Linked DNA regions of Saccharomyces cerevisiae S288C. The gene in region 1 interacts genetically with each later gene. Each region holds a gene or a part of one and is shown in the gene's direction. Other genes may lie near its edges. The genes, in order: PAN1, SLA1, BUD31 and COM2.

Evidence for each region.
Region 2: mutations in PAN1 (region 1) and SLA1 are lethal when combined (synthetic lethality), as found in Saccharomyces cerevisiae (5 studies listed by BioGRID, with this or other methods).
Region 3: mutations in PAN1 (region 1) and BUD31 together harm fitness more than expected from each alone (negative genetic interaction), as found in Saccharomyces cerevisiae (2 studies listed by BioGRID).
Region 4: mutations in PAN1 (region 1) and COM2 together harm fitness more than expected from each alone (negative genetic interaction), as found in Saccharomyces cerevisiae (2 studies listed by BioGRID).

Annotation. Positions count from the first base shown.
Region 1 is NC_001141.2:364,241-372,208, reverse strand, and holds PAN1 (actin cytoskeleton-regulatory complex protein PAN1), read left to right. Parts: upstream 1-2,300; coding exon 2,301-6,743; downstream 6,744-7,968. Other genes in the region: EGH1 (hydrolase), read right to left, coding at 1-1,505; U2 snRNP complex subunit IST3, read right to left, coding at 6,874-7,320; DJP1 (Djp1p), read right to left, coding at 7,690-7,968.
Region 2 is NC_001134.8:212,132-219,195, reverse strand, and holds SLA1 (cytoskeletal protein-binding protein SLA1), read left to right. Parts: upstream 1-2,829; coding exon 2,830-6,564; downstream 6,565-7,064. Other genes in the region: drug-responsive transcription factor PDR3, read right to left, coding at 1-1,726; LDB7 (Ldb7p), read left to right, coding at 2,067-2,609; HIR1 (Hir1p), read right to left, coding at 7,021-7,064. UniProt on the Saccharomyces cerevisiae protein: Component of the PAN1 actin cytoskeleton-regulatory complex required for the internalization of endosomes during actin-coupled endocytosis. The complex links the site of endocytosis to the cell membrane-associated actin cytoskeleton.
Region 3 is NC_001135.5:225,868-229,765, forward strand, and holds BUD31 (U2 snRNP complex subunit BUD31), read left to right. Parts: upstream 1-2,450; coding exon 2,451-2,924; downstream 2,925-3,898. Other genes in the region: TVS1 (Tvs1p), read left to right, coding at 1-1,591; HCM1 (Hcm1p), read left to right, coding at 3,443-3,898. UniProt on the Saccharomyces cerevisiae protein: Involved in pre-mRNA splicing. Important for bud site selection.
Region 4 is NC_001137.3:419,863-424,470, reverse strand, and holds COM2 (Com2p), read left to right. Parts: upstream 1-2,024; coding exon 2,025-3,356; downstream 3,357-4,608. Other genes in the region: 40S ribosomal protein eS26 RPS26B, read right to left, coding at 160-519; serine/threonine protein kinase SAK1, read right to left, coding at 3,762-4,608.

The DNA of each region.
Region 1 (7,968 bases):
TTAGCGTCCTTTTGCATTTCTGATAATTGCTTCCTAATGCATTTCCGTATATTGTTTTCGCCAAGCACTACAGCAAAGGCAGGATTTGAGTATTTTTTGTTTACTAGTCCATAGGTGTCTATGCCAATTCGTTTATTCCATGTCTTATACATTAGTGTCATACCATCATAAAAATGACATGCACAAATCGTCCTATTGTCCAATATTTTAGAATTTTGTAAATTGGGTGGTGGCTTCATTACCGGCGGTTGGATTATAATAAACAATTCTTGATCGAATTCCCTAAACTTGTTATAAATTCCAGTGTAATAGTCAACAAAATGATTGTTTATAAATACCGTTGCATCAGGTTGGCTAAAGTAATTTGGTTTGAGTAAAACAGGGCGTTTACCATTCTGAATCTCCCAAACACCATGGAGTTTCCAAATGCAAGTGTCTGGTTTCCATTCAGGGTTCCTTTCCCAATTATACTTCGCATCTATCGCATCTCTTTCCTCTGCACTCAGCCAAGCTTTTTTGCCTTTGGGATTGATTGTGCACGGTTTTCCCTTAGAAAATCCAAAAAATGTCCTTTTATATTGATCTATTGTGCACTCAATACCTTCACCCAGCATAAAGCTTTGAAATGCCGTTGGCGTTTTGCCCAATTTCAAATTTCTCTCTTTCGGAATCACATCGAGATTTGTTTCACCAATGTAACCACAGTTTGGCTCGTTCATAGACTCTAATCCAATAATGCAGTTGCTCTCAAACAACTCAGGAGCCTTTTCTTTAATTCTTGCGCACAGTGTCATGATTGCATCATTAAACCTTCCTTGCAAGTAATCCTGTATGTTTTCTCCATTAATTGTGCACTTAGGAGCATATTGTTTCCCACCAAAGAATAACGTAAACATTGTTTGACACGCCAGTTTGAAGTAGTTTGTAGGCCAAACCATCTTAGGGTAGGACTCTTCATCTTTGCCAACTTCCCTGCCCGTTTTGGGGTCAATATAATAATTATGTAAGATTGCAGCATCGGTGGCCAGGAAGTTTGCAGGTTGAAACCCTGCACAGTATAAGGTCCATAGCGGTGCTCCAGATCCACCGCTAAACCTAGACCAGACGTCTTGGTGAGGGTCCAAATAAATGTACATACCTTGTTGTACGCTGTTAATCCTGGTTAGTACCTCGACGATATAATCCATATAGTCAAAATCGTACTGTCCTGGACCAGCATGTTCAAGAGATTCCCAGGTGAAGGGTAAACGAATGGTATTGTAACCCAGTGATTTCAATCTGATGATATGCTGTTCGATATCATCAAGAACTAAGGGGTGATTGATGAAACTGACTTTATCAGCATCCTCGAAAAACGTGTCATTTTCTATGGGAGCGTGGGTGGATAGGAATGGCTTTGCAGGGATTTTAACTGACGGATCCAAATTGACACCACGCAATTGGATCTCGTTGCCATCTTTATCGCAAAACTGACCGTCTGCAGAAATGTGTATTTTGGCAGGCATATGATCTGTTCTTATTAAATTCAAACAATTTAGGTACGAAAGAAAAAGAAATAAATAAATAAAAAAAGAGAAGAAAGGTTAAGAAAATAACTGTCAGTAGAATTATTGCGAAATATAGAATTAATATTAATTCCATTGTTAAGGTTTACCAGAGATATAGAAACCTTAAACGAAGGCAATATTCGAGCGGATATGAAAAAAATAAAATAAACATACTCCGATACGGGGAGTCGAACCCCGGTCTCCACGGTGAAAGCGTGATGTGATAGCCGTTACACTATATCGGATTATAATCTATATTTTTTCTACTTCGATCTTATGTACTACTAATTTGATAATTTTGGGTTTAATATGGTTTTTTACTGAAGTACCTGCTTACCAACAGTAGAGATATTTAACGAATGCTTTCCTAAGACGCTTTTTATGCTTCAATTGGGCAGATATTAAAAATTCATCAATTAACAATGTTTATTTGACAATCTGGTTCGTCAAAAAAAAAAAAAAAAAATCACGTCCAGATCTGTTAAACCTTAAAGGTAGGTGCTCACGATAACCGATTGATCTCTCAGTCGCATAGTAGCTATGTATACTCTGTTTATCAATCGCTTGTTATTATAAATTGGCTTGATCACATGACACGTCGACGATATTTTTTTCTTGTTAGGGGCAAAAGTTGGTATTGGAAGAAAAAAAGCATTAGAAAGCCATATAGATCTATTGGCGAAACACACGTCGAGAAGCAGGAAGAGGAAGAATCTATCAGCGACGCGAAATTGCTAATCTGTACAACTGAATATGTATAACCCGTACCAGCAACAGGGCATGGGTTACCAGCAGCAACAGCAGCAACAGCAGCAACAACCAAATGGATTCTACCCGCAGCAGCAGCAAGGTCAGTCTTCAAACCAGCCCCAAGGCCAGCCTCAACCACAACAGCAAATGGCGTTTAACCAGCCTCAGGCTACCGGAATTGGTGGGATGCCTCAAAGTTTTGGTAATTCTTTCTCAAGTATGCCACAGCAGCCCCAAACGGGTTACAATAATAATGGAAATAATGGTAGTGTATATGGTAATGGTAATTTTGGCCAACAACCCCAGCAGCAACAACAGCAGGCGAAACCGCAGCATACGGGATACGTACCAAATTCCAGTATGCCTATGATGAATACTACTGGCACCATGCCTCCACCTAATCCGGCTCAACAGCCTCAGCTACAATCCATACAACCCCAAGGAACAGGCTATTACCAAGCTGCTAATACTGCAAATGTACACTCAGTACAACCTTTGCAATCTCAAGGGACAGGATATTATGTGTCTACACCCAATTTGATCTCTTCTAATCAAACCCAGCAGCCCCTTCAGGCCCAGGGCACTGGTTATTATCAATCTCAACCTCAACAGGTGCCACCTCCTCAGCAAGCACAGTCCTTGCAACCTTTGAAGCCGCAGCAAACAGGATTTTACCTTCAACCGCAAAACCAAGCTCCCTTAGAACCATTAAAGCCCACCGCAACTGGCTTTGTCAACTCATTTGCCAACAACGGTCTAAACAATGATATCAAAATCCCTGCCATTAGATTGTCGTTTATTACTGCCCAAGATCAGGCAAAATTTGAGACTCTATTCAGATCAATTGTTACCAATGGTTCGAATACTGTTTCCGGTGCTAATTGTAGGAAAATTTTGATGAGATCCGGTTTGCCACCTTCTCAACTCGCAAGAATTTGGACGCTTTGTGATACATCAAAAGCAGGTGAGTTACTGTTTCCTGAATTTGCATTAGCAATGCATTTGATCAATGATGTCTTACAAGGTGACACTATCCCTTACGAATTGGATTCTAAGACAAAAAACGAAGTTTCAAGTTTTATTGACGCCATTAATTTAAGCATTGCAAACCAGGATTCTTCCGCAAACGATGCCCCAAAAACTCCCTTTGATGAATTCATTACAGCGGGCGTACAAAATTTGCAACCTCAACCAACAGGATATATGCCTCAAACTAGTTTTGGTATCCCATTACAGTCTCAAATTACTGGAGGCGGTGTTGCCTCGGCGTTGAATCCTCAATCCACAGGATTTATGGCACCAACCACTTTCAACATGTCAATGAATACCGGAACTCCCGGATTGAACCCCCAAATTACTGGAGGAGCACCTGCCTCTATGCAACCCAACATTACTGGCAATGCTTTGCAACCTCAGACAACTGGTATGATGCCACAGACAACTGGTATGATGCCACAGACAACTGGTATGATGCCACAGACTTCATTTGGCGTTAATTTAGGACCTCAGTTGACCGGCGGTGCTTTGCAATCTCAGTATACCGGAGGATATGGTTCCGTTATGCCCCAGCAAAGCGGTCCTGCAAGTATGCCCAATTTGTCCTTTAATCAACAAGGATTACAATCTCAGTTAACCGGGTTGCAACCCCAACCAACGGGTTTTCTACCACCATCTAACTTTAGTGCTACCATGCCGTTGACTGCCCAAAAGACAGGATTTGGTAATAACGAAATTTATACCAAATCCAACTTTAATAATAACTTAATTGATAACTCAAGTCAAGACAAAATTTCCACGGAGGAAAAATCTTTGTTTTATAAAATTTTTGAAACTTTTGATACTCAAAACAAAGGTTTGTTAGATTCCCCCACTGCTGTGGAGATTTTTAGAAAATCTGGCTTAAATCGTGCAGATTTGGAGCAAATTTGGAACCTTTGTGATATAAACAACACCGGCCAATTGAATAAACAAGAATTTGCACTAGGTATGCACTTGGTTTACGGTAAATTAAACGGGAAGCCAATCCCCAATGTCCTACCTTCAAGTTTAATTCCCTCCAGCACAAAACTTTTAGACAACTTAAAGAACCAATTAAAGACAGAGCCAACGACCACAAAAGAAAAACCTTCGTTTGGTAAAATCGATGCCTTGAGCTACAAAAATAATGATGATGATGTTTTGCCGAACTATAGAAATCGTAGGAAGGTTTACTCTGCGAAAAATGAAGAGCAATCTTCTTTTTCTTCACCATCTGCTAAATCTGTTAATCATTCTAGCAGCACCCTTCAAACCGATGACATTTCGGTAGATAAGACTGTTGAAAAGAAGACAGCGAAACCAAAATATGCTGGGTTTTCAAGAGAAATAAATCTGAAAAATATTGCTTCACTGGAAAATGAGATCAAAAATATCAGCAATCCTGAAAACTGTTATGACAGTTCTATTCCATCAGATTTGACAAGCCGCTTTGATGCCATCATCGCCAAACTTCCAAACCTATTCAATGAAATTTCTACAATTGATAATGAGATTACCAATGCAAAAATTCAGTTGTATAGAAAAAAAAATCCTTCTTCGATAATTGGATCTGGTCCAAATGGTGAAATAACTGAAAATGATAGGAAGAAAGCTAAGAGTAGGGCTTTGTTGAGAGCAAGGATGTCTGCTCTAACAGGAAAATCAACGGAATCGGAGGATTCACTTTCCATGGAAGATGAACAGCAAAGTGCTGAAATCAAGAGAATCCAGCAGGAAAATGGTAAGAACCAAGAAATCATTAAAGACATAAGGTCATCTATATCAGATATTTCTGCATCCTTGAAGTCTACTATGACAGGATCGAATATGATATCCAATCAAGAATTTGAAAGATGGGAATTTGGCATAGGGTTAGAAGATGGTGTTCGTGAATTTTTGGATGATCTGAAGTCAAATTCAAATAAATCAGTGACTGAGTCATCTCCCTTTGTGCCTTCCTCAACACCAACCCCTGTAGATGACCGTTCCTCGTCGCCTTCTTATTCTCAGTTCAAAACTGCTGAAGAAAGAGCAGCTTATCTGAAAGAACAGGCAAAAAAGAGAATGAAGGAAAAATTAGCTAAATTTGATAAGAATAGGCGAAATGTTACTCAAAGTTCCAGATCGATTAGCAGTGAAAACTCTCGAGAACAGCCACAACAGATTGCTGGTTCTTCCAATTTAGTTGAACCTAGAGCAACTCCATTCCAAGAAGAAAAATATGTGGAAGTCGCTCAACCAACTCAACCTGTTCAATCAACACAACCTGTTCAACCAACTCAACCTGTTCAGCCAACTCAACCTGTTCAGCCAACTCAACCTGTTCAGCCAACTCAACCTGTTCAACCAACTCAACCTGTTCAGAATGTATATAATGCAAAGCAAGAATCCGATGATGAAGATGAAGATGATGAAGAAAAGCGTTTACAAGAGGAGCTAAAACGATTGAAACTTAAAAAAAAGGCTGATAAAGAAAAAAGACTTGCAGCTTTACGTAAGCAAATTGAGGATGCTCAAAATGAAAGTGACGAAGAGGAGACAAACGGAAAAGACAACTTTGGCGGCCATGTGAACGTTCCTCAGGCCGCTCCAGTGGCACCATCTGCAGCTTTTTCGCAAAATTCTACTAATGCTCCTCGCTCGGTACACGCTGCTGTTACCCCTGCCGCAGGTAAGAACAGTACTGGTCTGCCTTCCACGACAATGGGCCATAATCCATACTTCAAGGATGCATCAGCTAGCTCTACATCTACTTTCGATGCTCGCGCTGCAGAAATGCAAAGAAGAATCCAAAGAGGATTGGATGAGGACGAGGATGATGGATGGTCTGATGAAGACGAGAGTAATAACCGCGTAGCTGTAGATAATAAGGTTGAAGAAGCAAAGATTGGTCATCCTGATCATGCACGTGCTCCACCTGTTACTGCTGCTCCCTTGCCGTCTGTTACCCCTGTTCCACCTGCTGTCCCTGTCCCTCAGGCGAATACCTCTAATGAAAAGAGTAGTCCTATTCCAATAGCTCCGATACCACCTTCTGTTACTCAGGAGCCACCCGTCCCGTTGGCTCCCCCTTTGCCTGCTGTTGATGGCTTTCAAGAACCTCCAATTCCCTCAGCACCTGCAATAGCTACTGCCGTGCAAAAATCGGGTTCTTCCACCCCAGCTTTAGCTGGAGGCGTTTTGCCTCCACCCCCACCTTTACCAACTCAACAAGCTTCCACTTCAGAACCTATTATCGCTCACGTTGATAACTACAATGGTGCTGAAAAAGGCACGGGCGCATATGGATCCGATTCTGATGATGACGTTTTATCGATTCCTGAATCAGTTGGTACAGATGAAGAGGAAGAAGGGGCACAACCAGTTTCTACTGCAGGTATCCCATCAATTCCACCTGCAGGTATTCCTCCACCCCCACCCCTTCCATGAAGATTTAATTTGCTTTCTATAGATACGTATGTATACTAATTTCTGAAAGGATGTAGAATTACAAATATGATATTGATTATTTTTTTCTAGGCTATATGAATATAAGATATGCGATGAAAGAAAAAATTATTTAATTTGGTTGGTCCTTTTTAGCCAAAATGAGTTTCTCAGCATTGTTCTTCGAAACTATATCTCGATCCAATTCTTCCTTTACAGCTTCATAGTATTTTTGTAAACTCCTTTTTGGCCTATAAAAAGTATGATCAATTTTGAGGGCTCTACCGCCAATTTTAAATCCATTTAAATTATCGACTGCTAGAATCGTTGACCGTTGATCCTCATATTTCAAATATGCAAAACCTTGCGATTCTCCTGTGTTTTCATCCCTGCTAAGAATTACATCTACAGGGACTCCATATTCAGAAAAGACTGTCAATATGTCACCTTCTGTTAATTCTCGGTTGAGATTTCCGATATATATATAAGCATTATCCTTATATTCATTATGCCATGATTGATGCGGGCTAAGAATTCCACTTTGTAGTTCTTTATCGTTGATTTGCTGAATTTTGTTCATTGTTATTTTGTTTATATTATCTATGTTCTTGATCTAGAATTGCACGCTGCACTTTTTGAGTTGTATGAGTAATTAATGTTCGGCCTATTTTTTTTTATCTGTATTAATCTCAAAAAATTCCTAAACCCAGAAAGGTAAAAGAGCTTATCATTTAAGTGTGGCATAATTCTCCAGCCATAACCACTTCCTTATCACATAAATTATCATTGTCACTGAGTTCAATCACTTCTTTATTGTTCTATTGTCTTTCTTTCAAGAATAGAATTATCAGTATTAGTGTGATCTTATATACATTATATTATATTGAATACAGATAATAAAAAAAAGTGAATTTTTGAATTTTTAATATACAAGAGATGATTGCTAACTTCATGTATGTCTCTTCTTTTTTGTAGCTTCTGCTACAAGTTCTTCAAAGATCTGTGCCTCTTCTTGTTCGACTTTGGTTCTGAAAGTTTTCTTAAAGACTTCACCCAATAGTTTCATTGCTTCAGCTCTTCTGATAAGCGTTTTCTTACTTACCGAGTCATCTTCTAGTACTTTTTTACAAACGCCACGTAAAGTGGATGTTATTTCATATTTAGAACCATGCCAAGCAGCCGACAATACTTTGCCCATCAATAGCTGCTCTTGCTGCGCCAGTTCCTC
Region 2 (7,064 bases), on another chromosome or scaffold:
GAGTCTCTGAAAAAAAATCTCCAACAATTTGGGCTATCGCTAACTCACCATATTCAATAAGCCTGGACAATGACAAGTTTTTTAGCTTGGGCGATGACGGTGATAAAGAGGACGTACCAATTTTCGTTAAAAATTCTTTATGGTTAATGAATCCCATGTCCCTGAAATCCTTCGGCAAGAGACAATTCATTTGATGTTCATTTATTAAGGATAAATCACCAAGATCAGTTAAAAAACGCTTTTCCAGACTGTATATTTTCCACCATATTTTTCTTCTCCGTTCGGCAGTATTTTCGTCTATTCCAACATAATACTCCCAACGAGACAATCCCATCTTAGTGGAGCATGTAACCGCAACTTCTAGCATTTTTTCAAATCCAAAACGCTCATCAATTTCATTTTGGATTTCTAGCAATGACACTAAAATCTCTAGGTAATCTAAAGTGTTTATGTCCAACATGTGATATAGGGTAACATTGTAGTATGCGTAACAAAGAGTAGATAGAAGATATTCTGATGAGCAGAATGACGAGAATAAAACACTCTTTTCTTGATGGGGCAAGGAGAAAGCTTGGTTTAAAAATTCCGCAAAGCGCTTCCTATGTTGAGCATACATTTGAGTAACTATTCGAAACATCGAAAATGAATCATGTAAATTTTCTATCAATTGAGTAGTCGTAAACCCGGTAATCGATTGTATAAATGGCTGAGGTAGTTGATGAATAACAGAAATGACTAAATCGTTAGATAAAGGTGCTGGGGAAGTAGGCAAACTAGCAGATGCCGTCGTAGTAGGAGTTTGCTTTATTTTTTGAAGATAGTTCTCTAATGGATTAGAAATAGAGATGCAACCTTGGATCAAATGTTCATAACACAAATCAAACAATCTTAATATTAGATAAATAGTTTCCTTTGTATCTATTAACATCGATGAACCCGTGTTTTCGATATTTTTTTTAATTAAATATCCTATACCTCTTAGTGAAAAAGCCTGTATTGGAGAGAAAAGACCAAATACTTCATCTACTAGTGGAGTGGTGGCTAGAAATGAATCTGGACTTTGTGATTTAACCATTTGGTCTGTCCAAAAGGAGAACCTCGTCATGTGTATTTTATTTCTATACTTGTTGGTTAAAAGATACGTTTCTATCGATCTTTGTGGGCGAGGAGAGAAACTGGAAAGCTTGGGGTAGTTTATTTCGGGATTCCAACTGTTAATCAGGTTATTCAACTGCGACTTCGTTTTATCAATCAAGAGCTGAGTGTCATCACAAGGCGGCAGAGCGTACAAATTTGTCAGAATATTTTGATACGTAACCAGTTGATTTTGATATTTGGAATCATCTTTAAAGAGAATATTATTATCATTAGTAGGATTATTGGAAGTATCAGGAGCATGCGTCGCACTCGGAGAGACTGGAGTCTGTATCAGGTCGTTCATCAGTTTGAAGTAATATTGATTATCTAGCTTAATCGCAGTGTCCAGATGCTGTACATCTGCTGAAGCCTCTACATTGGCGTGGGAAGAGGGTGGAGCAACAGCTGTAGTAGGCAAAGACTGGGAACTATCCTCCTTCTGCGGTAAATGTTTTTTTAGGAATACACACGTACAATCGTAAGAAATGCAGTTGGTACATGGATATTTACCTGTGCATTTGATTTTCCTTTTTCTGCAATTGACACATGCTGTCGAAACTTTTGATCTAGTTGATTTCTTCACTTTCATTGCGGTCACGCAATAAGAAAAAATTAATAAAACTGCTGATGCAGTTGTCGCCTAAGACCTATGGTTGCTTTGGAAGGCTCCTGAAGACACAAACACAGGAAATACATAAATACATTAATGAGATTCTATAACAGTATCTACATATTTGCATTCTAAGACTCACTGTGATAGTTCATTTATTATTCCGCGGAAAGTCCGAGCGGCAGAGGAGGCAGCTCCGCGGAAACAAGGGCAGCGCCTGTTGTTCTGGAAGAAAATGAAAAGTGAAATGCAGTTGTCGTGGAAATAATGGCTTTACCTGAAAGCAGCAGAGCACGGTGTTAACAAGGAATAGCTGAGAATGAGTGGAAGTAATATGGGATACTATGACGTACTCGCAGGGCTTTCAGCGCTGGAAAAGTCATCCCAGGTAGTGTTCAGTGCGACTGAGCTTCAACAGCTTACGCAACAATCTCATGCTACCGACAAGGGCATAGAGGGCAGTGAGAATAGTAAAGCGAAGGTATCCAAGCCCAAAAGAGTAGCTGTACATGGTTACCTAGGCGGTAAAGTGTCGCTCGCCGATGCGGCACAGGTGGAGTATGAAGTAGGCCATTCACTGCTGGGCAGTTATGTGCCACGCCAGCAGTTGGAAGCCCTGTCAAGTGTCGACTTTTCGCACCATTTCCACCGCACATTAGAATGCAAAGCTGCTCTAGAGACACACGATGTTTTTCTTGCCGGCGCAGGACAATTGTCTCTACCCTTCCAATCACACATAGAGAGCCCCAGGAATAGCGAGGCTAAAAGGAAAAGAAAAGTGATAATATGCAAACGGTGTCAATCACGATTTATAGGTTCCCATAGGCGGTCTCAACTTAGAGAACATGCCTGCGTAGATTAAACCATGTAATTGATAGAGGTAGAATGTTGCTTCGTAGAAAGTGACTATACGATTCCTAAAAGGGGCTTCCTTCCACTCATGCGAAATCGAGATACATCAGACGAAAACAGAACGAATATTTAGCGCATATATACTATGTATATCTATTGCAATCCTAAAAGAAGGGATAGTGTAACATAGCCAAGGCGACAGAGTGTGTTATATACAAAAGAGCTAGAGTATGACTGTGTTTCTGGGCATCTATAGGGCCGTCTATGCCTATGAGCCGCAGACACCAGAAGAACTGGCCATCCAAGAAGACGATCTGTTGTACCTCTTACAGAAGTCAGACATTGACGATTGGTGGACAGTAAAGAAAAGAGTCATTGGTTCCGATAGCGAAGAACCGGTGGGTCTAGTGCCCTCCACTTACATTGAAGAAGCTCCTGTTTTGAAGAAGGTAAGAGCCATTTATGATTATGAACAGGTGCAAAATGCTGATGAAGAATTGACGTTTCATGAAAATGACGTTTTTGATGTATTCGATGATAAAGATGCTGATTGGCTGTTGGTTAAGTCTACCGTTTCCAATGAATTCGGCTTCATTCCAGGCAATTACGTCGAACCAGAGAATGGGTCCACTTCCAAGCAGGAACAGGCTCCCGCTGCCGCTGAAGCTCCTGCAGCTACTCCTGCAGCCGCTCCTGCTTCTGCTGCCGTACTACCCACCAACTTTTTACCACCTCCTCAACACAATGATAGAGCTCGTATGATGCAAAGTAAAGAAGACCAAGCTCCAGATGAGGATGAAGAGGGCCCTCCTCCTGCCATGCCTGCAAGACCAACGGCTACTACCGAAACTACTGATGCCACCGCTGCGGCTGTTCGATCTCGTACAAGACTATCATACAGCGATAACGATAATGACGATGAAGAGGATGATTACTATTACAACAGCAACAGCAACAACGTTGGAAATCACGAATACAATACAGAGTATCACTCTTGGAACGTTACCGAAATCGAGGGAAGGAAAAAGAAGAAGGCCAAGCTATCAATCGGTAACAACAAGATAAACTTCATACCCCAAAAGGGGACTCCTCATGAGTGGTCAATTGATAAATTGGTCTCTTATGATAACGAAAAGAAACACATGTTCTTGGAATTTGTTGATCCATATAGAAGCCTTGAATTACACACTGGTAATACCACCACATGTGAAGAGATCATGAACATTATTGGTGAATATAAAGGTGCTTCCCGTGATCCTGGGTTGAGAGAAGTCGAAATGGCTTCCAAATCCAAAAAGAGAGGTATTGTTCAATATGACTTCATGGCTGAATCACAGGACGAATTAACCATAAAATCAGGCGATAAAGTCTACATTTTAGATGATAAAAAATCTAAGGACTGGTGGATGTGCCAACTGGTTGATTCAGGGAAAAGCGGTCTCGTTCCTGCACAGTTTATTGAGCCTGTTCGTGACAAAAAACATACTGAATCTACAGCAAGCGGTATCATCAAGTCTATCAAGAAAAACTTCACCAAATCTCCATCTAGGTCGAGATCTAGATCAAGATCTAAATCCAATGCCAATGCCAGTTGGAAAGATGATGAACTACAAAACGATGTTGTAGGTAGTGCTGCCGGTAAAAGGTCAAGAAAAAGTTCATTGTCCTCTCACAAAAAAAACTCTTCGGCGACCAAAGATTTCCCCAATCCAAAAAAATCGCGTCTATGGGTTGATAGAAGTGGTACTTTCAAAGTGGATGCAGAATTCATTGGATGTGCTAAGGGGAAAATCCACTTGCACAAGGCTAATGGTGTCAAGATTGCTGTCGCCGCTGATAAACTATCCAATGAAGATTTAGCGTATGTGGAAAAAATTACTGGGTTCTCCTTAGAGAAATTTAAGGCGAATGATGGGTCTAGTTCCCGTGGCACTGATTCAAGAGACTCTGAAAGAGAAAGAAGAAGGAGATTGAAGGAGCAGGAGGAAAAAGAACGCGATAGGAGATTGAAAGAGCGTGAATTATACGAATTGAAAAAAGCCAGAGAACTCCTAGATGAAGAAAGATCAAGGTTGCAAGAAAAGGAATTGCCTCCAATAAAACCACCAAGACCAACCTCTACTACCTCCGTTCCAAATACGACGTCCGTACCACCAGCCGAAAGCAGCAATAACAACAACTCCAGTAACAAATATGATTGGTTCGAATTTTTCTTGAATTGCGGCGTTGATGTAAGCAATTGTCAAAGATATACAATAAATTTTGATAGAGAACAGCTTACTGAAGACATGATGCCTGACATCAATAACTCAATGTTAAGAACCTTGGGTCTGCGCGAAGGTGATATTGTTAGAGTAATGAAACATCTTGACAAGAAATTTGGAAGAGAAAATATTGCATCAATTCCTACAAATGCCACTGGAAATATGTTTTCACAACCTGATGGTTCATTGAACGTTGCTACAAGTCCGGAAACCTCACTGCCTCAGCAATTGTTGCCACAAACAACAAGTCCTGCTCAAACAGCTCCTTCCACATCAGCTGAGACAGATGATGCTTGGACTGTTAAACCGGCTTCTAAGTCTGAATCTAATTTACTCTCTAAGAAATCAGAATTTACTGGTTCCATGCAGGATTTATTAGACTTGCAACCTTTAGAACCTAAAAAGGCAGCTGCCTCGACACCTGAACCAAACCTAAAAGATTTGGAACCCGTGAAAACTGGCGGCACCACTGTTCCTGCTGCTCCGGTTTCATCTGCTCCGGTTTCATCTGCTCCCGCTCCATTGGATCCATTCAAAACCGGTGGCAACAATATCTTACCCTTATCTACTGGCTTTGTGATGATGCCAATGATTACTGGGGGCGATATGCTGCCTATGCAAAGAACCGGCGGCTTCGTTGTACCACAAACAACTTTTGGTATGCAATCGCAAGTTACTGGTGGTATCCTACCTGTTCAAAAGACAGGAAATGGGTTAATTCCTATCTCTAACACTGGCGGCGCAATGATGCCACAAACTACGTTCGGCGCAGCAGCTACCGTCTTACCTCTGCAAAAAACTGGAGGTGGCCTAATACCAATTGCCACCACAGGAGGTGCGCAATTCCCGCAAACTTCATTCAATGTTCAGGGGCAACAACAACTTCCAACAGGTTCAATATTACCTGTCCAAAAAACTGCTAATGGATTAATTTCAGCTAATACTGGTGTCTCAATGCCAACTGTACAAAGAACAGGCGGCACTATGATTCCACAAACATCATTTGGCGTTTCACAGCAATTAACAGGTGGTGCAATGATGACCCAACCTCAAAATACAGGGAGTGCCATGATGCCTCAAACATCCTTCAATGCTGTACCACAAATTACTGGAGGAGCAATGATGCCTCAAACGTCCTTCAATGCTTTACCACAAGTTACAGGGGGAGCAATGATGCCTTTGCAGAGAACTGGTGGTGCTTTGAATACATTTAATACTGGAGGCGCCATGATTCCCCAGACTTCGTTCAGCTCTCAAGCTCAAAACACTGGCGGGTTCCGGCCGCAATCCCAATTCGGTTTGACTTTACAAAAAACCGGAGGTATTGCGCCATTAAACCAGAACCAGTTCACTGGTGGAGCCATGAATACTTTAAGTACAGGGGGCGTTCTTCAACAACAGCAACCACAAACGATGAATACCTTCAATACTGGTGGTGTTATGCAAGAGCTCCAAATGATGACTACTTTCAATACTGGTGGTGCTATGCAACAACCACAGATGATGAACACATTCAACACCGATGGAATTATGCAACAACCACAGATGATGAACACTTTTAACACTGGGGGTGCTATGCAACAACCACAACAACAAGCATTACAGAACCAACCTACTGGATTTGGGTTTGGTAATGGACCTCAACAATCAAGGCAAGCCAACATATTCAATGCTACTGCATCAAATCCGTTTGGATTCTAGATTAATGTATTTTAAGATTTTATAGGATAATAACTAAAACAAGCTATATGAAATAGTTTCGTACAATCTGTGCTTATACTCGTGAAAATGGCAAATTTCTCTTTTTTTTTTTATAAGTAGTTATGTATGTATTTTACTAATTTTAATATAATCGTTCTCAGTCCCAATAATGTTTTATTGTCATATTATACTAAAGTTGAAATGGTGGAGTCGACCCTAAGAATTTATTTCTTCCAGACAGAGGAGGTGTGTAGTCACTTTGGTTCCACTAATAGACAACCGACATTAAAATACTTCTGATCTGTGCCTTCAGAAAGCTTCATCTGTAACCGCTTGTCTGTATGAGTCGTTTCAAATGGTAACCACTTAAACAATGCGAATACTACAATGATATTTATAAAATATAGACGTAATTATGAGGGAAAAAACTTGTCCAAAGGAAGGGGTATAAGCTTATTATTTATATAACGACCAACAACCCAGATCCTTAGTCCATTTAT
Region 3 (3,898 bases), on another chromosome or scaffold:
TCGCTACCACATTATTACGCTGCTCTTGGTTGCATTTGTGCTCTACCCTGTGTCCCTGGCGCTAAGCGCCGCCCGTTCTAGGTGGTACTTACCCCTGCTGTTTGTTAATCTATGCATTTGTATTTCGTCCGTAATGGCATTGTCCGTGTTCAAAAATACTTTCCCGGAAGAAGACTGGTATGCGCATAATATCTATGGCACCACTTCTGTGCTACTTCTCGTTTTTATGCTTGTTCACTTCTTCGCTGCGGTGCTTTCTGTCCCCGTCTCATTAGCATCGAAAAAGGAGTACCGTCCGGTTGACACCATCCCTCTGAATGATCTTGAATCTACGCCCGTCATGGTGAATAGTGCACGTGGCTCTCCAAGTCCTTCTTCCAACAGAGACACGTTGTTCTCGCTCTCTTCAGACACCACGACCGCCACGGCCACCAATAATAATAAACGGAGACGCGCTGAAGGCGAAGACGAGGGTGATAACACCTCCAACCACGACACTTTGCGCGACGAAGACTACGATAATGATGACGACGAAATTGCTTCCATTGAAGCGCCACCTCTGCTTCCTCAAGACATACCCGTTTTCCGAATCTTGTTTACCAACACGAAGTACCAGATGCTTGCCGCGCACCTCTCGTGCGTCGCCAACGTGGTCTTTCACATGCTTACCTACCCGCTATTCATGTACATCTTTGTAGACCTAATCATCGGCTTCGCTGTAGGTAACTTGCTCGGCAAGGGCATCCGCATCTTTAATCTCTTGGCCCACTGGATTAAGGGCGGCGTATTTTTTACTCTGGGCGTTGTCTCTTTAGCAAGATACTGCGGTTTCGCAGCTAAGTACGGCTGGGCATGGAACAACATCAGCTTCACCTCTCAACTCACACAAACGCGTTCCTCCAATCTTCTTTTCCGGTTTGCTCCTGCGGGGACTTTCACCATGGAATTCGTTGAATCCTTCCTCATTTTCTTTTACGGGTCCACCAACATCTTCTTGGAGCACCTGGCAGGAAACGGCGGCGCATGGACTGCCAAGGATTTACAGCATGTGTCGATCGCGTTTATGTTCATAGGAACCGGATTGTGTGGGCTACTCACGGAGTACAAGCTCAACCATTGGCGATTCGAGCATGCCCGCAAACGGCCACAGACCGATGTAGTTGCTGCCACACCGGGGTACTCTCCAAACCCGTTCCCCGCTTTCACCATATTTTGGACTGGGATTCTGATGTCCCAGCACGCACAGTCCTCGCAATTTTCTACTACCATTCACACGCAATGGGGATACTTGTTGTCCTATGGGTCCTTCTTCCGTCTGCTAACATTTTTGATTCTGTTTTTGGTGCCCAACACCAACAGTGCCGCATCCAAGCCTTTCACGGAGTTGATCACCTCGTTCTGTCTCCTCTGTGGTGGTCTGGTATTTATGGAGTCCACGGATCAGTCCATTGAAGCCATGGAATATAGGGGGTTTACCCCCATGTTCACTTTCAACCTCAGTGTTGGATTCGTTTCTTTGTTGATGGCTTGGGAAATGATTTTATTTATTTGGAAAGACTGGCTCATCAAAACCAGGAAAACCAGTCTTTAACCGCCATAATGGCTTTTCTTTTTTCTTTTTTTTTTCACCCCCCCCTCATCTTTGAGTGAGAAGCTTATATGCTTTACTTTTCCTCACCTACTTTTTAATTCTTAATTATTAGTTTATCCAGCATTCAGTCAATTCTGAATGCGTTATCGCTTCCTCAAAATTTATAAAAATGAATAAGCAAGATCTCATTGGAATTGAGTTCAATGACGATTATTGAGGGCCCATACCTGATAAAAGTGAATATATTATGTATAATGACTCTACTGGAGGTTCTCTCTGAGAATGTAAAATAATCCACAAAAGACATGAAAATTAGTTACTCTACATAATGTATAATAAGTTCTTCCTTCCTTTTTTCTTTTTTTAGTTTTTCTACTCACCATCCTACCTACGCCAAGCTGCTCTACTGTCTTGGATCTGTGAAAAAACGCCTAGAAACATGTATAAAACCTACCGCTTTAAACCATAATTTCAAATCGAAATGGCACTATGGCCGAGTGGTTAAGGCGAGAGACTCGAATGGAATAAAAAGTTCGGCTATCTCTTGGGCTCTGCCCGCGCTGGTTCAAATCCTGCTGGTGTCGTTTAATTTTTTTTAAATAACATCGTTGATTAAAACAATCCTATTCACTGCAGTCACAGACTTAGCACATTTACAACCAGTACAAGATCAATCACACGCGTTGTGGTAGGAACTTTGACGATGATACTGCGTTGGCTCTTGAACGCATAGTACATTTGTCGTTCACAACGGAAAGTGAAATACTGAAAAAAAAAGAAAAATTTTCTTAGGGACTCATCATCAATGTAAACACCTCTACAGCCGTCAAGACTAGCAAAGCTCACCTCACAAAACGACATGCCGCGCATAAAGACCAGAAGATCCAAGCCTGCACCTGACGGGTTCGAAAAAATCAAGCCAACCCTCACAGATTTCGAAATCCAACTCAGAGATGCCCAAAAGGACAAGTCGTCTAAGCTCGCAGCAAAGTCCAATGAGCAGCTCTGGGAGATAATGCAACTCCACCACCAGCGCTCTAGATACATATATACTCTGTACTACAAGAGAAAGGCCATCTCCAAAGACCTTTACGATTGGTTGATAAAGGAAAAGTATGCTGATAAATTGCTAATTGCCAAATGGCGCAAAACCGGGTATGAAAAACTGTGCTGTCTGCGCTGCATTCAAAAGAACGAAACTAACAACGGTAGCACTTGCATCTGCAGGGTGCCTCGTGCACAGTTAGAGGAAGAAGCACGCAAAAAGGGCACACAGGTGTCCTTCCATCAGTGCGTCCACTGCGGCTGCCGTGGATGTGCAAGCACAGACTAACGACTATATGCACGTTGCAGTATTGTTCTGGCCATGTAATTATCTCTCTCCCAACGTTTTAGAAGAGGTTTTCGTCTCCTTCGTCAAAGACGACCACTTTCCCATTTTGGTCATTGGAACGCGAAAAAACAAAACAGACGCGAGAACGCGACGCGAAAAAATATATTTTTCCGTTTTTTTTTTTTTTCGGAACAAAGATAACGCGTTAAAACCTGTGGATGTAATAAGGATCTGAAACACTGACTAAAACGCGTCCTCATTTAAAATCAAAAAATTACTTCTTCTCCTCCCTTACGGTGCCCTTTGATCCTTCTCAAACTTTAAATATATGTTGCATGATTAATTGAAAATCATATAGAGTATATCTTAACAGAGGTTCCAACGCTTTAAATCGTATTCTATTCTTTTCCCCCCTTTTATTATAGTTACATCTACTATTTGAGCTTCTTTTATTGACCGAAACTACCTCTTATTTCGAAGCAAAAAAAAAAAAAATCAACAAAAATTCCAACTTTTCAATGATGAATGAAGACATATCCATCATTGATGGCCATAATAGTTTTTTAACGGAAAAAAGCACCGTGCTATTAACCCAAGCCAAGAGAACACTAGAAGACGAAAAGGAAATGATTACTCCCCCGAGCTCAACTGTGAGAAAAACAATGAAGGAAGTAAATAAGAGGCCGTCGCATCCCCTCTCACCGGATCACTCGTCCCCAATTGCTCCATCTAAGGCCAAGCGCCAAAGATCGGACACATGCGCTCGGTCCAATGGTAACCTAACCTTGGAAGAAATTCTTCAATCTTTGGAAAGAAGAAGAATAAATGGTGAACTCGCCAAGAAACCTCCATATTCGTATGCAACTTTGATTTGCTTGGCCATTTTGCAATCTCAGGAGGGAAAGCTAACGCTATCCCAGATATATCATTGGATCCACGTTCACTTCCCTTATTACAAGCAGAAAGATGCTAGT
Region 4 (4,608 bases), on another chromosome or scaffold:
GAGTATGAACGAAGTTACATGCGCAAAAATTCTATTCTTGAAAATATACTATAATCATATTATTAAAATACACAATTATAAAAGACAAAGCCTCTATTAAAAAAAATAAATGACACCTTAATCAGCGAGCGTTTGATTTATATTATTCTCTCATCATATTTACAAAGCTTTCTTTGCGGCAGCTGCTGGAGAAACTTTGTTATCCCTGTTAAATCTTGGTCTTTGTGGAGGAGCTCTGTTCTTTCTGTCTTCTCTGGATCTAACTCTAACAATTCTGGCGTGAATAGCACAGGAGACACAGTAGTGCAACTTGTTGTAAGTCTTTGGCAAGGCGTATTCTGGGTAGACAGAAGCTTCGGACAAATCTCTGACGGCAGCAGCTTCAACAATGTTTCTAATAGCCATTCTCTTGATAGCCTTATCCTTTGGAATGGACTTGGAACAGTTAACACATCTCACTGGCTTGACGTGACCTCTACCCTTCTTGTTTCTACCGTTGGAAGCTCTCTTTTTTGGCATCTAAAAATTACATACAAATTCAGTAAATTGAAGTTAGTAAAGAGGAAATATCGAAAATACTGAATAAAACAAAGGATTAATAGAAACGTCTATGCCTTATTGCTTTAAAAAATTTTCTTGCCTCTACCATTTCAGCCATCAATGTCACCCATCTTTTGTGGATTATAGTGTCGGTATGAATATCAACTATTGACCAGCTATTGTTTTACAATTTACTACCGCCAATCCCGGACACACCATAATTTGCTTGAAACTATTGCAATTTTGTTGGTTGAAAAATTGGCTTTACGGCAACGTCATTCTTTATAATTCTTTCCTTCCACTTTGCTCCTTTATCACATTATTCGCTCTTATAACATACTTTTCCTGTTTGATTATGTGTATTTATCTTTCTTTTTGAAAGTAAATTGAGACACGCTTAAGAGCAAGAATTTAAGGTAAATATCACTATATAGATAATAAAACACTCTGTTATGTTACGATAGACGCCTAGCGTTATTTCCCGGTGCACGATCGAATGCTGTCAATACTATCTGAAATTTCATGCAAACTGCGAATGTGAGATGCCATCGCGCGAAAGATCTCAAAAAAACACAACACGATGAAAAGAACGCAATTCTTCTCAAAAGAAAATTTAGTAGGCCCCATAATAAGGTTGGGTGTAGAAGGTGTACGGAGGTAAATATGCAGCAGTCCTCTTATTATAATTTTGATCAACCCCAGAAGATGCCGAAAAGGCGCGGCTGTCAGTTTTAATTCTTGATTATCGAATGATAGAAGGTTCGATATTTACGCAAGGAGGGAGCGATGAAACAGATAACTGCCAACATTGTATTCCCGCATCTGATCGTCCACGGAATTAATATAAGAAAATACGCTATTAAACTTAGCAAGGAATAAATATTATATTCAAGCCATCTCCTTTACTCTTTTCTCTTGTTTTTCAGTGTTTTTTTTTTTTGGCGCCTGTCATACCCCTTTCTCCATTCCGGGAACGCAGGGAACAGTGAATTCACACTGCCAAACACCTATGAGGTTATTGTATACATATTATCCATAAACACCTCTGTGCTTGCAGCAAGTCAAGCCATTTCTCTGACGGAATTTCTTATAGCAGTTGTTGCTCCATGCGGATATACTTGTTCAAACGTGCATAGCCGCCCGGCGTTAATCACACATGGCCCAATTGGGTGCTGTTTTTTTACATTTACGGTTACGAGTGCGACGCTTCGGAAATGGAGCAAAAAATTTCAGCGGATAACCCACGGAAAGGTGGCTTTTACTGTTCCGAGGGCTTTTGCCCAAGTTGTTGCCCGGCGCGGTTCCTAGCGTGGCCATCCAAGATATATATAGATAGCTGAATGGGCGACTGAGAGCCATAGGTAGCATGGGCTGGCTTCGAGCAAGATGATGATTTTCTGTTTTGAATTTGTACAGTAGGCCTGCTAGACTTCATAAACTATCCAGGGACAAATAAAGCTTTACGATAACATAGACAGACAAGCATGTCTTTATACCCTTTACAAAGATTTGAATCAAATGACACGGTTTTCAGTTACACTTTGAATTCTAAGACTGAGCTGTTTAACGAAAGCCGCAATAACGACAAGCAACATTTTACCCTTCAACTCATACCAAATGCCAACGCCAATGCCAAGGAAATTGACAATAATAATGTAGAAATTATCAACGATCTAACAGGCAATACTATTGTCGACAATTGTGTAACTACAGCTACTTCATCAAATCAGTTGGAGAGAAGGCTTTCGATATCCGACTATCGTACCGAAAACGGTAACTACTACGAATACGAGTTTTTTGGTAGGAGGGAACTTAACGAACCATTATTTAATAACGACATCGTAGAAAATGATGATGACATCGATCTAAATAATGAAAGTGATGTATTGATGGTTAGCGACGACGAGTTGGAGGTAAATGAAAGATTTTCCTTTCTCAAGCAACAGCCTCTTGACGGGCTGAACAGGATTTCCAGTACTAATAACTTGAAAAATCTGGAGATACATGAATTTATAATAGATCCAACGGAAAACATTGACGATGAGCTTGAAGACTCTTTTACCACTGTGCCCCAATCTAAAAAAAAAGTTAGGGACTATTTCAAATTAAACATATTCGGCAGTAGTAGCAGTAGTAATAATAACAGTAATAGCCTTGGTTGTGAACCCATTCAGACCGAAAACTCTTCCTCGCAGAAAATGTTCAAAAATAGATTCTTCAGAAGTAGGAAAAGCACTCTAATCAAGTCTCTTCCTCTTGAGCAAGAAAATGAAGTGCTTATAAATTCAGGGTTTGATGTTTCCTCTAATGAAGAAAGTGATGAGAGTGACCACGCGATAATAAATCCGTTAAAGCTGGTGGGAAATAACAAGGATATCTCTACTCAAAGCATTGCTAAGACAACGAATCCATTTAAGTCTGGCAGTGATTTTAAGATGATTGAGCCAGTTTCAAAATTCAGCAATGATTCGAGAAAGGACTTATTGGCTGCCATATCAGAACCATCCTCTTCTCCTTCTCCTTCTGCACCATCACCTTCAGTACAATCTTCCTCTTCTTCTCATGGCTTAGTGGTGAGGAAGAAGACAGGAAGCATGCAGAAGACGCGCGGAAGGAAGCCCTCTTTAATTCCGGACGCTTCCAAGCAATTTGGTTGTGAATTTTGCGATAGAAGATTTAAAAGACAAGAGCATTTGAAGAGGCATGTCAGATCTTTACATATGTGCGAAAAACCATTTACATGCCATATCTGTAATAAGAACTTCAGCAGAAGCGATAATTTGAATCAGCACGTTAAAACTCACGCTTCCTTATGAAATTTTAAAGATACGGAAATTGCAAATTGAAAAAGTTTAATGACACTCACCAGTAATGATTTTGAAACGAAAAGGCACTTCTCAGGGTGAGACGAAGAAACGAAAAGTTTTCTAAGCACAGATACACTTCTCTCGCCGCCCTTTTAATAATTTAGAATAAAAATATTATAGATTTATAGATTATATTATGCTAAACTAAAAAGATCTACATCATATATTATTTTTAGCCTGTTAATGATATTAAGTTCATTGCAAGAGGATTGTAAATCACATGCATTTCAAATACAGAACTTATTTTAACATACACATATATGCGTGCATGTTGGCAAGGGTAAAAAGTTAGAGCTTTCTACCATATATCTGATTAACATCGTAGTCCGATGGAAATTACTTTGAATTTTACACTCATGGAAGTGCACTCCTTCTCTTCTCTTCATTTAGTTCAGCGACTGTTAAAGATCGCGATCTTTCATGGGTCCTTTGTTTTATAGCGCCATTTTCTTGTCCTTTATCACCATGGCAGCTGGTATTTCTAGCATGTTCATCATTACCAACATTAGTACTCATGGTAATACTTGCGTCCTTTCGTCCTCTTATTTTATTTGAAGGTATGGATCTCCTTCTGCCTGCATTAGTGGAACTTAGAGCATCTTTTAACAAGTCCCTTGAATAAAGAACTTTATCGAAATTTTTGTCCTTTCGATGATCGTTATTACCGTTAAATTCAACGATATCTGTTAAATTTGAGGTTTCCGTCGTAGCTTTCTTTTGGTCTAAACGCTTTGGTAATACTAATGGGCCAGGCTTACTAATGGGTTGGCTGCGGCTCAGTGCCTGATGCAGCGTCAAGTCATCCATATTTTGCGGCGTTATCGTCGTCTCACTGTCATGAACACTTCCATTGGAATACATGAAATTATTTGATCCCTTCTGCGGACTATTGGATAGTTCACTAAGTTTTGAAGAATTATGCCTTCTTCGATGACCTGCAGTCCCGACATTTAAAATTAGCTCATCTTCGTCGGAGGATGAAGATGAAGAAGATGAGACAGAAGGTGGTTCGAGGTTCAATGAACTTTTAACTTTCATGCGTCGACATGGTTGTATATCCAGAAACGGCCTTATTTGATCTTCGTTAGGTAAATCTCTTAATAATACTCCACTTCCATCTTCTGAATCAACACCAAACTCGAAAGGTAATGACTCCGTTTCTGAATATGCATTATTGTTGGAGCTATTCCGAGATTGGGTT